Linked DNA regions of Struthio camelus. The protein of the gene in region 1 purifies or fractionates together with the protein of each later gene. This does not show direct contact. Links are inferred from orthologs where the notes say so. Each region holds a gene or a part of one and is shown in the gene's direction. Other genes may lie near its edges.

Evidence for each region.
Region 2: the proteins of NFKB2 (region 1) and CHUK purify together in Homo sapiens (affinity purification with western blotting; 4 studies listed by BioGRID and IntAct, with this or other methods). This does not show direct contact. The link is inferred for Struthio camelus from reciprocal best matches to the Homo sapiens genes NFKB2 and CHUK.

Annotation. Positions count from the first base shown.
Region 1 is NC_090948.1:23,610,444-23,618,095, reverse strand, and holds the start of NFKB2 (nuclear factor NF-kappa-B p100 subunit), read left to right. Parts: upstream 1-4,596; 5' UTR 4,597-4,699; intron 4,700-6,953; exon of another isoform or gene 6,954-7,057; intron 7,058-7,652. Other genes in the region: TMEM150A (transmembrane protein 150A), read left to right, coding at 33-104, 192-259, 377-504, 1,770-1,947, 4,352-4,596. UniProt on the Homo sapiens protein: NF-kappa-B is a pleiotropic transcription factor present in almost all cell types and is the endpoint of a series of signal transduction events that are initiated by a vast array of stimuli related to many biological processes such as inflammation, immunity, differentiation, cell growth, tumorigenesis and apoptosis.
Region 2 is NC_090948.1:43,888,044-43,895,579, reverse strand, and holds the start of CHUK (inhibitor of nuclear factor kappa-B kinase subunit alpha), read left to right. Parts: upstream 1-4,473; 5' UTR 4,474-4,507; coding exon 4,508-4,630; intron 4,631-4,701; coding exon 4,702-4,796; intron 4,797-6,984; coding exon 6,985-7,099; intron 7,100-7,536. Other genes in the region: CWF19L1 (CWF19-like protein 1), read left to right, coding at 826-1,035, 1,816-1,935, 3,695-3,792, 4,218-4,362.

The DNA of each region.
Region 1 (7,652 bases):
GCTCTCCGAGCCCCTTCCTTTGCTCCCCCCAGGAACTACAACCAGTCGTGCGGTGTGGACGGCCCCGGCTCGTGCTGCACGCTGGATCACATCCCCCTGGTCAGGTGAGGAGCTGCTCGGAGGGAGGGCGCGGGCTGGCCCGGCGGCAGCAGCAGGTGCCCGCCCGCCCACCCGCCGCCTTCTCCCCGCAGCAAGTGTGGCACCCTGCCTCCCGAGAGCTGCTTCTTCAGCCTCATCTGCAGCCTGGGCTCGTTCATGGGTAAGCGCGCGGTGCCGAGGGGTGCTGGGCGCCCGGCGGAGCTGCCCCGGCCCCTGGCGAGGCGGCGGGAGGCTGCCGCCGGCGGTGCGCGACCGGCGCCCTGTCTGCGTCCCGCAGTGATCCTGGTGGGGCTGTTGCGGTACGCCCACGTCTTGGAGCGCTGCGGGCCCTCGCTCCTCAACACCCTGGGGCTGGCCACCGGCTGGGTCTGCGCCGCCGGCCTCACCATGGTCGGCAACTTCCAGGTAAGGCTGCTCCTCCGGGGCAGGGCGGTGGTCCCTGCTGGGCCCTGGCCGGGGCCCGGAGCCAGGAGCCCGGCGCTGCCCGGGGCTCGTGTCCCAGCCCTTTGGGGGGGGGGTTGCAGCGCTCGGCTGTGAGGGGTTTGGGGGGCTGTTGTTTTGTTCTGGTTCAGGCGCTCCCCCACCTCGTCCGCACGCTGCGGCTCCTCCCTGCGTTTCCTCCTTGCTTACACACTCACGATTTCGGATCCCGACTACGCTGCCGGCTTTGGTTTAACCCTTATCTCCTAAAGCAAACGTTTGGGCAATCGGCTGCCCTGGGCCGGGTGCTGGTGCGCCCTGGGCCGGCCGGCCGGCCTCATGGGCGGCTGCTGTCCCGGACGCGCTCCGAGCTCGCTGCGAGCGGGGGCCGCCGCGGCCGGAGGCTGCGCCCGGCGGGGCGGTCGTGGAGGCACCCGCCGCCCTGCGCGCCGATCGCTGCCGGCGCAGCGGCCTGGCCTGGCTCCCTCTGCCCTGCCCTCCCGGGGGATGCTTGCTCCTGCAGAGGTGATGCCGGCAGACGCTGCTCTCTTCTGGCGCTGCTTTTCTGCCCTGGCGGTCCGGCCGCGGGGAGGGCGGCTGGCCCTGCCTGCTCGCAGGGTCAAGAAGCAGGTGAGCCCGGCCGGGTGCCGCGGCCGGGGTGCCCTGCGCCAGCGCCGCCGGAGCCCGGCCCCTGCCGCAGCCGCCTGCCCGCGCCTCCTTGGCAGCAGTTTCCCCTTCCGCTTTGCAGGAGGCTGCTGCGGGCGCTGCAGGGACGAAGCGTAGCTGGCCCCGAGCCCTCACCTCGCACCCCAGCCCTGCCTCAACCAGCTCGGCTGAGGGCAGGGGCTGTGTCGGCCCGGGAGGCCGGGAGCGAGGGACAAGGCGGGGACAGTCCCAGGCTGGCAGATGGGCGCAGGGCTTCCCCTGCCCGATGGCCTTGCGCGCAGCGGGGCTCTAAGCCAGAGGTGTCCCACGCATCGAGGAAGCAGATGCGCTTTGAGATCCTGGCAGCAGTGGATGGGTCTAAATGTGCCCTTCAGTCGAGCACCCAGCCCGGGGTGCTCTCCCTGGCGGTCCTGGGGCTCGGCCGTCCCGCTGCCCGGGCACCGCCTGCTCCAGGGAGCTGCAGCCGCGGGAATGGGGCGCTGGCTCGCAGCGGGGTTTGCACCCTGTGGGAGCGGAGAGGGGGGCAGAGCCCGGTCGTGCCGGGTGCACCCCGCGGTGCCAGCGCTGGCGCTCTCTCCCCGCAGGTGGATCATGCCAAGGTGCTGCATTACATCGGTGCTGGGGTGGCGTTTCCCACCAGTATGCTGTTCGTGTTCCTGCAGTCCATCCTCACGTACCGCATGGCCAAAACCCGCGGGCATTACTGGACCGGCCACTTGCGTAGCATCCTCACTGCCATGGCCTTCATCACCCTCGTCTTCAGTATCCTTTGCACAGCAGCATGCGGGGAGGAGGTCTCCCGGGACGGGCTGGCGAGAGGCCCCAGGCCCTGCGCAGAGGATGGCCGTGGGGCAGGGGGCGCCTGCGGCGTGTTCCCCGGCCCTCAATCTGACGGCGGGAACGAGGCCCCGGCAGGGCAGGGTGGGCGGCTCGGCGCGGACCTGCTGGCGGAGCAGCAGCATCGGGGCTGTGCCGGGCAGCGGGAGCGGCGGAGAGCGGCAGGGGAGTGGAAGGGAGGAGGCTGAGGGAAGAGGAAGGGGAGGGACATGCCTTCTGCCCAGACGTTTCACACTTGCTGCCGGTGCCTCTCGGGGACCAGGACGTGGTATGGAGCGGTGCCCTAGGTGGGCTCAGGCCGGACCGTTCCTCTCGGCAGCCGCAGCCCAGCTCAGCCGCTGGGAGGTCCCGGCTGGCTGCAGAGAGCCGTGCCATCCACATGAAGGCAGTAGCCCCGCAGAGCAGGCTGGGCGGCAGCCCCGGGCGGCAGGTTCGAATCCCACCCCTGCGGGCTCGCAGCCTGCCCCCCCTTTGGAGGGTGAGGTGCCTGGGGGAGAGCCTGTCTCGTCCCGCTTGTGCACGGAGCACAGGGGCCAGTGTATTAATGAGACAAAGGTATTTTGAGCCTTTGGTAGTGCCAAGGCCAGCTAAGATGCGGACGGCTGTCCAACTGGCAAACGTTAGGCTGAAGGAGAAGCAGAGTGCGGCTGTGCTTTTGCGGACGCCAGCGGATGCGGGGTCCTGTGGGAGAGGGGCGCTCCAGGAAACCACGGGGCTGGCCTGCCCGGCAGGACGAGGGAGAGCTTGGGTCTGCCAGCGGCACGACAGGGAGGCAGGGCACGACAACAGGCTAAGCGGTCGCTGGAAGCACGGACCTGCGTGTCTGGCCGGGGCACCGTGGACTTCTTTGGGACTGACCTTAGGGATAAACTGGGAAACGAGGTGGTGGTTATATGGGCAGGAAGGGGAAAGAGCACAAAGTGTCCGCAGGTCCCAAAGGGGCTGGAGGGCCGCTGGCCTTGCTGGCACTCGGGACTAGAAATGGGAAAAGCGTGGAGCTGCGGTGGGGGCAGATGTGGGGTAAATGTGTGGGACCATTCCTGGAGCGACTAGAGAGGGCAAGCAGAGGGGCCTGCCCTGTGCAGGTCGGGGTCCTCCCTCTCACTCTCTCTCCTGGGCCTGGATGCCCCTGGCAGGAGGCAGGGTACTGCAGGAGGCTTCACCTGGCACATCCTGGGCTCTCCAATAGCAAGCTGCAACTTGTGGGAGGCGTTTGACTCAAGAGGGAAGGGGGTTTCCTAAAACGGTGTACTATATAACAAGAGACTGATCCAGCTGCCTGGCACGGCAGGGTTGAGGGATGTCTCTCTTGCCTAGAGTGACTCTGGAATTAGGTTTCCCTGGAGAAATGCAAGGACAAGAAGAACATAAAAAAGTTACGGGAGGGGTAGCACCTTGGAAGACCTTGGGAGGCAGCACGATCCCTCTCCAGGGTAACCCCCAGGGCAGCACTGAGGGAAGGGGGGCTGGAGGGAGCTGCTGCAGGGCAGGGAGGCAGCAGCCCAGACCACGCCACCAAGAGGGTCAAGGGCTGATGAGTTTTGTAGACTTTGAATGTTTGTCCAGCAGGAGGACTGGGAGTATCGGAGAAAGCCCAGTCTGAGGAACAGCAGATGGTTGTGTGTCGGGGTATTTGGGCAGACCGTCTGCCCTATGCAGCAGGCACCAGGCTGTTACCCTGCGGACTGCAGACTGAGTTCCTCCTTCCCATGGCATCTTCAGAAAACCCCCAGCTGGCAGCGGTCCTGTGAATTGCCAGGGTGACCGGAGTGTCACAGGGCAGGGGTAGTGGCTGCACGAAGTGGGGTTGTGCTTTTGGCTGGCATCAGAGATTTGGGGGAGGGAGAACAGGGGCTACGCTTAGCTCTCCATCTTGTTGACAGCCTTTGCGCTGGAAAGATGGAAGCAAGTGATGGTTAAGGTCGTGGCAGGCAGTCCTCTCCCACCCTGCTCTGCCTGGTTGGTGCTGCCCTGACCCGGGGCTGGAGTTGGCAGATTCATTATCAGGCTGCTCGCAGGTCTCCCTGTCAGCACGCTCCAAAGGTGGCGGCGATGCCAGCTCGGCACCTCTCAGACGTGGGGTGCAGAGCGAGGGCCAACAGGCTGCTCTCCTGATGCCCCAGCAAGCCCAGAGAAGCCACCGGGGCAGCACTGAGCTGCTGCTCGCCCACGAGGCGCTGGGTGAGCCTGGGACCGGGTTCCTACCGAGCCGCTGCGGGACGCAGGGGGCCTGCAGAGCTGGGGACGGTTTAGGACAGCACGCCTCCAGGGGCTGTGCCTCTGGGTGCCTGGGGTCTGGCGATGCTTTCCTTGACTCAGACACCCTCAGGCGGTGTCTTCTTCATCCAGGAGAGCTTCGTGCTGCAGCACGTGGCCGCCCTGTGTGAGTGGATGTTCATCATCGATGTCCTGGTCTTCTACGGCACCTTCACCTTCGAGTTTGGGGCCATCTCCACGGACACCTTCCTGGTCCTCCTGAAAGCCAGCCGGGCCCCCAAGAGTTACAAAACTGAGAGCAGCGTGTCCAGCACCGCCCACATCCACAGCCACGCGGAGGGCCTGGCGATGATCTGACCCCGGCGGGACGCAGCCCTAAGGCTGCAGCAGGGACCAGGAAATCAGACTGTGCGAGTGATTCCCCTGCCTCGAACGGCCCCGAGACCCCGATCGCCTCTGGGTGCGTGTGCGTGTATGCGTGGGTGCACGCCGGTCGGTGCCCTGCCCTCCCCTCCCGAGGGGCCGTGGACGTGCTGCCCCAGCACGACAGCGCTGTGCGGGGAAGGGCAGCAGCTCTCCAAGGAGCTCTGGGTGGGAGGTGCTGGCGGGCGACGGGTGCTGCCAGCCCAGGGCTGCTTGGCCGAGGTGGGGCTGCTCGCCCCTAGAGACTCCAGGATTGCCCTTGCTGAGTCCTGGGCGGTGACATGGAGACGATCACGGACGACCCCTTTCCGATGGGACGTGCGTTTCGGGGAGCAGCAGTCACCTTCCTCCCACCCCTCATCTGCAGAAACGCGATTCCTGCGGAGCACCGAGGCCGTGTGCGCCGGGCAGGGAACCGCTTCCTCCCTCCTCTGCTGCCACGGGGCGGCTGCAGCTAGCCGTGCAGCGAGCCTTTTAGCCAGCTGCTGTGACCACATCGGAGGAGCCAAAAAACAAAGTGCCTTTTCCCTCCCTAGTGAGTTGGTGCTGATGCCAGTCCGCCTGCGCACCCTGCGTGGAGGTGGCTCTTCCCTGGTGGGGCCGTGCCTCCGGAGAGGCTCGCTCTGGCGCTTGCGCAAGCCCGTCCTCGCGGCGGGGGATTTCCCCTCGCCCGCGCAGCCGACCTCAGCTGTACCGCGGCCGTTCTCACGCGCTGCAGCCCGAGAGGCTGCGCATCGCAATCCTGGGTTTCCTACGCTGGGGGCAGGCTGCTGCCAGCCCTCCCTACCGGGAAGCGGAGGCGCGGAAACGCGCAACGCTTGCTCTGGGAACAAAAGCCTGCGGCCAGCTCGGCTCCGACGCCGGATCTGTCCTCTGGTGCCCGTATCTGCGTGGTGCCTTCCAGCAGCGCTCAGCCGGGAGCGCCGCCGGTCGGCCCTGCGGGCTCGTGTGTCGGCGCCCAGGGGTGAGGGCAGCCAAGGTGCCCAGAGCCCGGCCGTCGTCCGGCAGCCCTGCTCGGCCCCTGGCCGCGTCCCACTGAGGGTGTCCTGGGCAGGGGGTGGGCTGGCAGCGGGCTGCGGGACGATGGAGGGTGAAGAGTGTGTGTGTATGTCTGTGTGTGTGTGTGTATGTATGTCTATATCTACATATATATGTATGTATATATCTACATATATATATATAAAAAAATTCTCCCCTCGTCTCTTGAGAGGGGCATTTGCTGCTGCTGTGCGTGTTGATCAGGTTGTGCTTCCTGATTTGCCCACCTTCTCAAAACTGGCCTATAAATCCGCCAGTATACATAGCTGGAAGAGGAGCATTTCTGACTTTTATATATAATATATGTTTAAAAATTTATAAAGAGAGAACAGTGAATTTGCAATAATAAAAGTGAAAATCAGGCAAGTGTGAAGCAGACATGCCTTCCCTGCTGCTGAGGGCTGGGTGTCTCCTGGCCTTGGGATGAGCCGGAGCCAAGTGGTCCTCCAGGTCCCCACAGCCCCTGGCTGGTGGCCACGAGCCCTTTGCTGGTGTCACTTGCTGCTGGCACAGCTTCCTGTTCCCAAGTCCAGGATGGTGAAAGACAAGAGGTTTCACAATGCAGTGAAGAAGTCGCTATCCCTGCCTATCTGTCCTGGTCTCTGCCCCCTGCAGCAGAGGTGGCAGAAGGACATCTGTGCCTGCATTTCTGTGCCTGGGTGTCACCTCACCGGGGCCGTGCTGAGGCAGGCAGCAGAAGGCGGTAACCCCTGCTGCAGGGTCTGCCGGGGTCCGGGGCTGTGCTCAGGGGAGCAGGGGCGGGCTCCTCGGTAGCGCATGTCCTGACTCCAGCCAGGGGGGTGCAGCGGGGGTAACTCAGCACTCCCACAAGTGCCCGCTGGCGGGAGGGTGCCGGTTCGTGTGCGGCTGCTGGGTGACTGTGACACCGAGAGGCCCGGCGGATGCCATCCCCGACGTGGGGCCGGAGGTGCCGGTGGCTGTGCTGGCTGCAGCTGGCCCACACGGGCCTGACTTGCAGCAAAATGAGGGGAACCGGGGCTGCCCCGAGGTAGCTGCCCGCGAGCGGGGTGCCGGCCACGATGCAGCCAAGCATCGTTGTCACCTGCTTGTCCCCTGCTCCAGCGGCTCGGAGTGGCTTAAAAACCCTCGGGGGGGCAGGGACGCGGCGGGCAGGGCCGGGGGGTGCCCCCCGCGGCTGTCCCGGTGAGGCCGGGGCAGGGGAGGCCGCGCCGCCCCGGCCCTGCCCGGCCGCCCCGTCGGGGCGGCGCAGGCGGCGCCCGGCCCGGGGCCTCGGGGCGGAGCCGGGGCCGGGAAGCCCCGGGAGGCGGAGCCGGGCCGGGACTTTCCCGGGGCAGCGGCCGGGGCGAGCTGGCCGTGCCGGGCACTGGGGCTGGAGGTAAGGGGGCAGCGGGCGGGAGGCCCGAGGGGGCCGGCTATGGCCCCGGCAGCCGCCCCTGCGCGGGCGCTCCGGCTGCGGGCTCGGGCGGGAAAGGCGGTGTTAGGAAGGGACGGGCTGCGGGCAGGGTGGCTGGCCGAGCACGGGGAGGAGAAGGCGCGTCCTGGTGCCTGTTCCCTGGCCGGTGGGGACAAGTTGCCTCTTTTCCTCGGCTTCCCTGTTGGCTGTGCGTAGTGCCGCAGGCTGGGGCCCTCCCGCTGCCAGCTGCTCCCCTGCTCGCAAGGCGCAGCAGGGCTTGCAGCCTCGCGGGGGGTTAGTTCAGGGAAGGGATCTGCGCCCGCGAGCCCCGCAGAGCCACCGCCAAGGCTGCAGCGGGCCCTGGTGTGAAAGCGATACCGCGGGCCGTGGGGAAACTGGGGAGAGCCCGGCCAGCACTGAAGGGGGTTTTCTGAGAGTGTGAGGGTGCACAACTGGAACAGATAGTTAATAGTACAACAACAAAGCCGCTGATTTACAGGCCCCTAGAGAAGGAAAACAGAAGATCAGTGGGCGGCTGGGGGTTGCCGAAACCGACTTGATACCCACGGTGGGAGTA
Region 2 (7,536 bases), about 20 Mb from region 1:
CTCCATGCCCTTCCATAACTTGGACCCATGGTTTTCTTTTCAATTTCTTTCATTTTCCCCCTAAAAGACACAGGTATATAGACAGACTTGTAAAAATGAAACATGGCCCTATTTTGCTCAGGCAACGGAGCTGAACTATGCTGACAAAATACTTTTTTGGCTATGCCAGCCTTAAAGGTTTTCATCTTACCACCTGACAAAACTCTTCCAGTGCGAACTCAGTGTGAGCTGGCAACAGCTTGGCAGCAGGATGCACTGACTGGAGTTATGCCAACTGTCGCTGGGGTGATTTGTTCCAGTTCTGTCATATACAAATTAAACAGAAGATTCGTAGTTTTTAGTTATTAGTCTCCAGTATGTACTTGAGGATGTTGAATTAATCATTGATCTCTTTACCTTCCCTAAATTACTACTCCTATCTAGTGTAATACACTGCTAACTGCTATAGGGACAGATTTGTCCACATGTTCAGTTTAAATGCAGGTGTACGTTTTCAAGTGGTTTTCTTGTTTGTCTCTTTTTGTTGTTTTAATAGAATTTCTTGATACAGTGGTTCATTCACTTGCCTTCTTTCAGATAACTTATTTCCTCATGTTCTGGCACTTTTTTTTTCTTTAGTAGTCCCTGCCTTTTTCTTGTTCATCTAGTAATTAATTTCTAATAAACGTAATCTCTAGTAAGTGTCATGGAAAAGGAGGCTTTACTGATGCGGGATAGCTAGGCTGTGGGATGCTCTCAGAATGTTGTCAGAGAGCACAGGTAAGCTTCACAGCATGGTAAGTGTTTGCAGTGAGTGAGTAACTGATATATATTGTTTCATTCCAGTGCTATCTTGCCCTGGCCAAGGGTGGCTTACTACCTGATCACGTCCTGATTTTGCCTATTGGGCACTATCAGTCCGTAGTTGACCTGTCTTCAGAGGTGGTGGAAGAAGTGACCAAGTACAAATCTGTCTTAAAGGAATTTTTCAGAAGCAAGGGAAAGAGATATGTCTTATTTGAAAGAAACTATAGGAGTCAGCATCTGCAGTTACAGGTATGATTTGAGTACAATAGCAGAAGAGCGCAACCTGAGCTTACATGCCAGTATGTTGAAAGAGACGGCTCACTCTCAAACTTCCCTCTTTCCTCTGTGCCTTCACAGAGTATGGATAGAAATCATCTTACCCAAGGATAGAGGCAGAACAAAAACAAAGCCTGGGTGCTTATTCTGCCGCAGTCCTTGTTTTTCCTGTTACAGCAGGCACAGGGTTGATTTGTGTAGAGTGAGTGAGATACAACTGTTTTTCCCCTCATGACCCTGATTAAAAAGCTCACAATGTGTACAGATGAGTTGGAAGACTTTGCTCGTACTCTTATCCGCTCATACTGGCACATGAACTGTGGTACTCATGCTGTAACTGAAGTAGGCTGAAAATCTAGAAATACACCTGCAGAGCTCTGGTATTGGTAGACAATGAATAACCTTTTGATTTGATTGTTTCCTGTATGTTAATCACTTGGTGGTTTATTGTGGTGGTTTCTGTATCTGGCAGATCTGTAACTGTATCAGAGCGGCCTTAAACTACCACAAAGATCAGAAAGGAGGGTGACCGTTCTGAGAACTCTTTCAGGCTATTAGTTTTCAGTTTTCTGTTCAACTCCTACAGAAAAATCTCTCATAAGTTTAAGCCTGTATAGATAGGTGCTCACCTGTCTTATATGATGATGACGAGCAGTACTGAGGAGCATACCAGCTCCAGTGATGGATTTATTGCTTTCTGAGAGTAAATGGTTTGTCTTTTCTCGTTATGAAAATGTTGTCCATGCTCTCCAGGTGATTCCTGTCCCGTTGGACCTCTGTACTTCTGAAGACATTAAAGAGTCCTTTATTGTACAGGCACAGGAACAACAGATTGAATTGTTAGAGATCCCAGAGCACTCAGATATCAAGCAAGTATGAGACAAGATTTCACCTGTCGTTTACCTCACCTCAATCCTTTCTAAGCTGGTATTTCACTCTGGGGTCGCTTTGCATGGTAAGACTAAGCTGTTGGAGGTAGACTGCCATAGACTTGAGTTGCAGATATGCCCGAGGTTTTCACTTCTGGATGAAGTCACAGTGAATGACAGATGATTTGCTTCTTTGCAAATTAAGGCCTTTATCTGCCTACAGCAGTTATACACCTTAGGCTCTCCAAGATGATCAATACTTGCTTTTCATATGAATGAAGCCTATGCTGCTAGGTGCACTAGATAGCACTGCTATCCTGGTGCGATTTACGAAGATGTCCTTTAGTTTTCTCGGAGCAGCTGAGTGTTTACTCGAGGAGAAACTCCAAATATAGGTTAGGCAGAAAGGTAAGGCAGAAATCTGACTTTGAGGACAGGAATGTAAAAGATAACCCTTGCCCTGCTACCCCAGCTCTGTGCACAGGTTGCTGCACTCACTGCTAGTGATACCAAAGCAGCCCTTTCTGTGTCAGTGCAAAGCAGGTAGCTTTAAATTCCCTTGGATCAGGATTTGGAAGAAATATTCCTGTTGTACCAGAGAAATTAGTCTAGTGATATAGGCTTCTCTGTAACCAATAATCACAGGGAGACCATATCTGCAGCAGGACCCAGAAACAGCACATATTTATGCTAGTTACTTTCTAAGCTATTACAAGTATTTATATCTGTGTCAGAAAACTTAGGGTTTTTTTTTTTAGCTGAGAAGTGTAAATTTACTCTCATGTGATTTTTTTTATCTACAATATGCTGTATTAGCTTGGGATGACTTAGCTAGGCAATTATGATCACTCTTACTAGAGGTGTCATTCTGCAGAATTAGTCCACAAAAATGTAGCATTGTGCTCATGGTGCTCCATATGCAAGTGTACAAACTGATCCCGGCTGAAAGCAATCCATCGCTTCACATCTGTCATGAGCTATGTTTTGAGATCTACCATTGACCCAGTTTGTTCCTGTTTGTGTGTTCTAATCTGACTTTCAATTTGCTTTGCAAAGGAAACTAAAACACAGCTAGGGTCCTCCTTGTTAGGAAGCATCAGCTCTTTGACAGAGTGGGGCCGACTTCTAGGACATGGCTACTCACAAGAAATACTTAGGAGAGGGCCTTTTTTGGTGTTTCATTGATGAAAAGGCTTTGGAGTGAACTCAGCCAGGACTGGACAACCCACAGGGTAAAGCCCTGGGGGGTTTTTTGGTGCATAGGCACATTTAAACTTCAGGATCTGCATGGTCTCGGGTCAGTCTTGGCAGAAGAATCCACAGGAAGCTTGGGTTTCCCTAACTCTAATATTCAGTTGAATCACGGTTCAAGTATAATCATCCAAGTGTAGTCATCGACATCTGTTACAGTGTCCAAAAAATGCACTTTTCTTGCTGTAGTTCAAAGCCAGTCTCTTATGAAACCCTGTCATTTTTAAATAACAGAACTAGGGTAGTTATTCTGCTCCGCTGTTGGGTTAGAACCCATTTGAAATACCAAGATGAATTTAACATTACTTGGAAGACTGGCGTGAAAATAGTCAGTGTTGCCCTGCCACTGTTAAAAGCTGCCCTTGCTCCCCTGAGGCAATAAGGGGCCTGACAGCTGGCAGTTCCCTGCTGCTTGGAGGTCAGCAGGGACCCTTTTTCTGGGCTCCATCTTTCAGCAAGGTTTCATCTTCTTTTTTTTTTTTTTTCCCCCCTTTCTTTCTTCCCCCACCTAGGTAGCCCAGCCGGGGACACCCTATTTCTACGTGGAGCTGGACACGGGCGAGAAGCTTTTCCACCGCATCCGGAAAAGCTTTCCGCTGCAGTTTGGCAGGTTTGGGGGTTTGGTGTTTTTTGCCCTTTTCTCTCCTCCCTCATGCTGTGGTGAAGCAGAGTGGCGCATGGGGTGCGGCAGCTCTCATGCCACAGGGCCTGTTGGGTGGGTGGGGGTGCTGTGATGTCACGCCGGGGGGGTGCTGTGATGTCACACCGGGCAGGGGAGGGGTGTGGGGGTGCTGTGACGTCACGCTGGGTGGGGGAGGAGTGTGGAGGGGGTGCTGTGACATCACGCTGGGCGGAGGGGGGCCTGTGGGGGCACTGTGATGTTGGGCCGGGCAGAGGGGGGCCTGGGAGGGGTGCTGTGACGTCACACCGGGCAGGGGAGGGGTGTGGGGCCGCCGTGGCCTCACGCCAGGCCGGGGGAGGGTGTGGGGGGCGCCGTGACGTCACGCCGGGCGGCTGACGCGGCTGTGCTTGCAGGGAGGTGCTGGCGAGCGCGGCCCTGCTGGGGTTGCCCCACCGCGCCGACTGGCGGCAGTGCACGGCGGCGCGACCCGAGGAGGCGGCCGCCGCCCAGGCCTTCCGCCGCGACTTCCAGCCCTTCGACTTCGGCCTGCAGCACTGACGGCGGCGGCGGACGTGCGGCGATGGGCGGCGCGGCGTGACGCACGCGCGCGCGCGCGCGCGCTCTTCTGTGACGCGGCAATAAAGGCGGTGTGGCGCGGGGCGCTGAGTGGCTGCGGCGCGGTCCGGGGGGCGGCGGAGGCGGCATGGAGCGGGCGCCCGGCGGCGCGGCGCTGCGGGGGCAGCCGGCGGGCGGCTGCGGCCCCTGGGAGATGCGGGACCGCCTGGGCACCGGCGGCTTCGGCAACGTCTGCCTCTACCAGCACCAGGTGGGCGCCGGGCCGGGGGAGCGGGGCGGTGCGCGCTGCGCCGGGCCCTCTGACGGCGCTGTGTCCCGCAGGACTCGGGCGCCAAGGTGGCGATCAAGTCGTGCCGACTGGAGCTCAGCGTCAAGAACAAGGACCGCTGGTGCCACGAGATCGACATCATGAAGAAGTGAGTGCGGCCGGGCCCGGCCCCGCCGCTGGAGCGGGGCGCCGCCCAAGCCTCGGCTGCCTCTGCCCCGGGGGCTGCCAGCGCGCTCGCTCCCGCCGCCCCTTCTGCCCCTAACGCGCAGCCCGGCATGCGGGGACCAGCCAGACCCCCTGGGTCTGATTCAGCTGCTGTGTGGGGTGGGGGTCTAGTGACAGCTGGACCCCCCTGTACTTGCATTTGACCAGTGCATGGGTTGGGGTCTAGTGACAGCCAGACCCTGTTGAGTGGAGTGGGGGGTCTAGTGACAGCCAGCCCCCTGGCCTCCCTTACCGTTGGTACGTGTCATGGGAGTCTAGCGAAAGCCGGACCCCAGCGCCCGCGTTTCTCTGGTATGTGTGATGGGGGTCTGGTGACAGCCAGACTCCTGGGCTGACATGGGGCTAGTGTTTCGCATGGGGGGGTCTAGTGACAGCCAGACCATTGTGGTCACATTCAGCCAGTATGTGGGAGGGGGATCTAGTAACAGCCAGCCCCCTGTGGTCACGTATGGCCTGTGTGTGATATGGGGGTCTGCAGTGACAGGCAGCCCCTCCGGGCTCGCATGTGGCTGGTGTGTGGGACAAGGGTTCTAGAGATAGCCAGCCTTCCCACCCTGGGCTTGTATACGGCCAGTATGTGGAATAGGGGTTTAAGTGAGAGTCAGAGCGCTTGCACACGTGTGGCCAGTGTGTGGGGTGGGGGTCTAGTGACAGCCGGACCCACTGGGTTCATGCACAGCCGATGTGTGGAGCTGGAGTCTAGTGACAGCCAGGTCCCCTGGGCTCCTATGTGACCAGCGTTTAGGGCTGGGATCTAGTGACATTCAAACCCCTCTGCACTGGTGTACCAGCTGGTGTGTCAGGCTGTGATCTGCCGATGTTCTGAGCCCTTCTGCTCTCATGTACCATCTAGCGTGTTGGATTGGGACCTAGTGATAACCATCCCCCCTGCACTTATGTGTTGGTCCATCTGTTTGCTCAGGACATAGTGACGTCCAGACACCTGTGTGCTTCTATACTGGCCCGTGCATCGGGCTGTGATCTGGCAATTAGGGATCTGGGAATAACCGTTTTCTGTGACGTTCTCATTCTTACTGAGTAACGTCTCCCAGCTCTTTTTAAGAAGAGGTTACTCACCCTGGGCAACCCGCAGTCCCTCTCCAGCATGTCACTCTGAGATACCTGTGAAACAGAGCAGGTGAAATTCATCCTCATGGACAGAGTTGCTCAATTATTTCTCTGGGTGTCAGGGATCTCGTGGAGCTGTTTCCTCATCATGGGAACTGCTTCCTCTCGAGGGAGATCCTGTAGCATGACATGTACAGTCCTGCTGGCAGGAGCAAGGACACCCTTCCAGAGTTTTATTTTGAGTAGTTCTCCAACAACTCAAAACCCTTTGCTGTACCCATGCTGCATGGAGCTTTACTGAGGTCATACTGTCCCTTGTCACGCTGATCTGCTTACATACATGCTGCTTTCACATTATGTTATCAATAGTGGAGGAAACCACTTGCAGGTATCGTGTTAGAGCTGAGTTTGCAATTCAGTATTGGGTGATCACTGTTTCTATCAACGTTTTCACTGCAAAACTATATTCATAGTCTGAATATAGGCACTGAATTGTACCTCTACAGCGTCTTTTGTGGTAACTCCCAGAGACTTTGGACTTTGTATGTTGGAGTAATTTATCTTCTTTCTAGATGTGTGTTTTATTCCTGAGAATAGCATATTTTGAGACAGTGAGGAAAAGCTGTTTGAATGTAGTTACCCAAATGATTTCTTCCCAGCGTACATTTATTTTACGTGCGTGGTTCTACTTCTATAGAACAATTACACAAGTGTTAACATATTCCTGTAAAACTTCTGGACTAAAGGGAAACTGCTTCTACATGCAGAAATAGAAACACATATGAAATGACTGTGCCAAGAATGTGCAGAAATCCAGAACTTGAGCTTGGATCTCCATCATCCAAGTCCTGTATCTTGACTTGGAGACCATGTTCTGCTCATCACTGGTTTGTGTATTCACAAGGTATGGATCTGATGCATTTCGGTACTGGGCAGCAGTAAGTTTGGGGAGATCTTACCTGAAACATAAAGCACGGTTGGTTGGCAGTCTTGCTCTCCCAAAAGAGGGGTCAAACTTTTCATCAGGCTCTCCGTGTGCCTAGGTTGAACCATCCCAATGTAGTAAGAGCCTGTGAAGTTCCCGAGGAGATGAACTTTCTTGTTAATGACGTTCCTCTTCTGGCAATGGAATATTGTTCAGGAGGTGACCTCCGGAAGGTAAGTTCTGCTTTGCTTTGACACACGTAGGAAAACGAGTGGAGTTAATGCTCTTTTCCTAACTGATTGTCTGTGAAACCACGTATATTGCAGGTGGAGGGAGGTAGACGTGTAGTAAAAAACGTAAGTGTGAAGTGAGGCTTGTGCTATGAGACCAGGTGATAGAGGGGATAATCCAAGGGCAGATATTACTTTATCCTGAAGTAGTGTCTCCTTTCATAGGACCGCATCAGCATTAATGCCGTTTCCTGTAGCCTCGATGTTAGCACCCACCATGACTGAATTTGCTGCTGCGTGCCTGTATCTGTTTGAAGTCTGATCTGTTTTTAATTCACGGGTGTCCAGTGTTGTGTTGTTTTCAGCTACAAGGAAGGATCTTGATTCTCTTGTGCTAGACTGGGACCGCTAAAACTTTCAAGACTTCCCTGTTTCCTTCT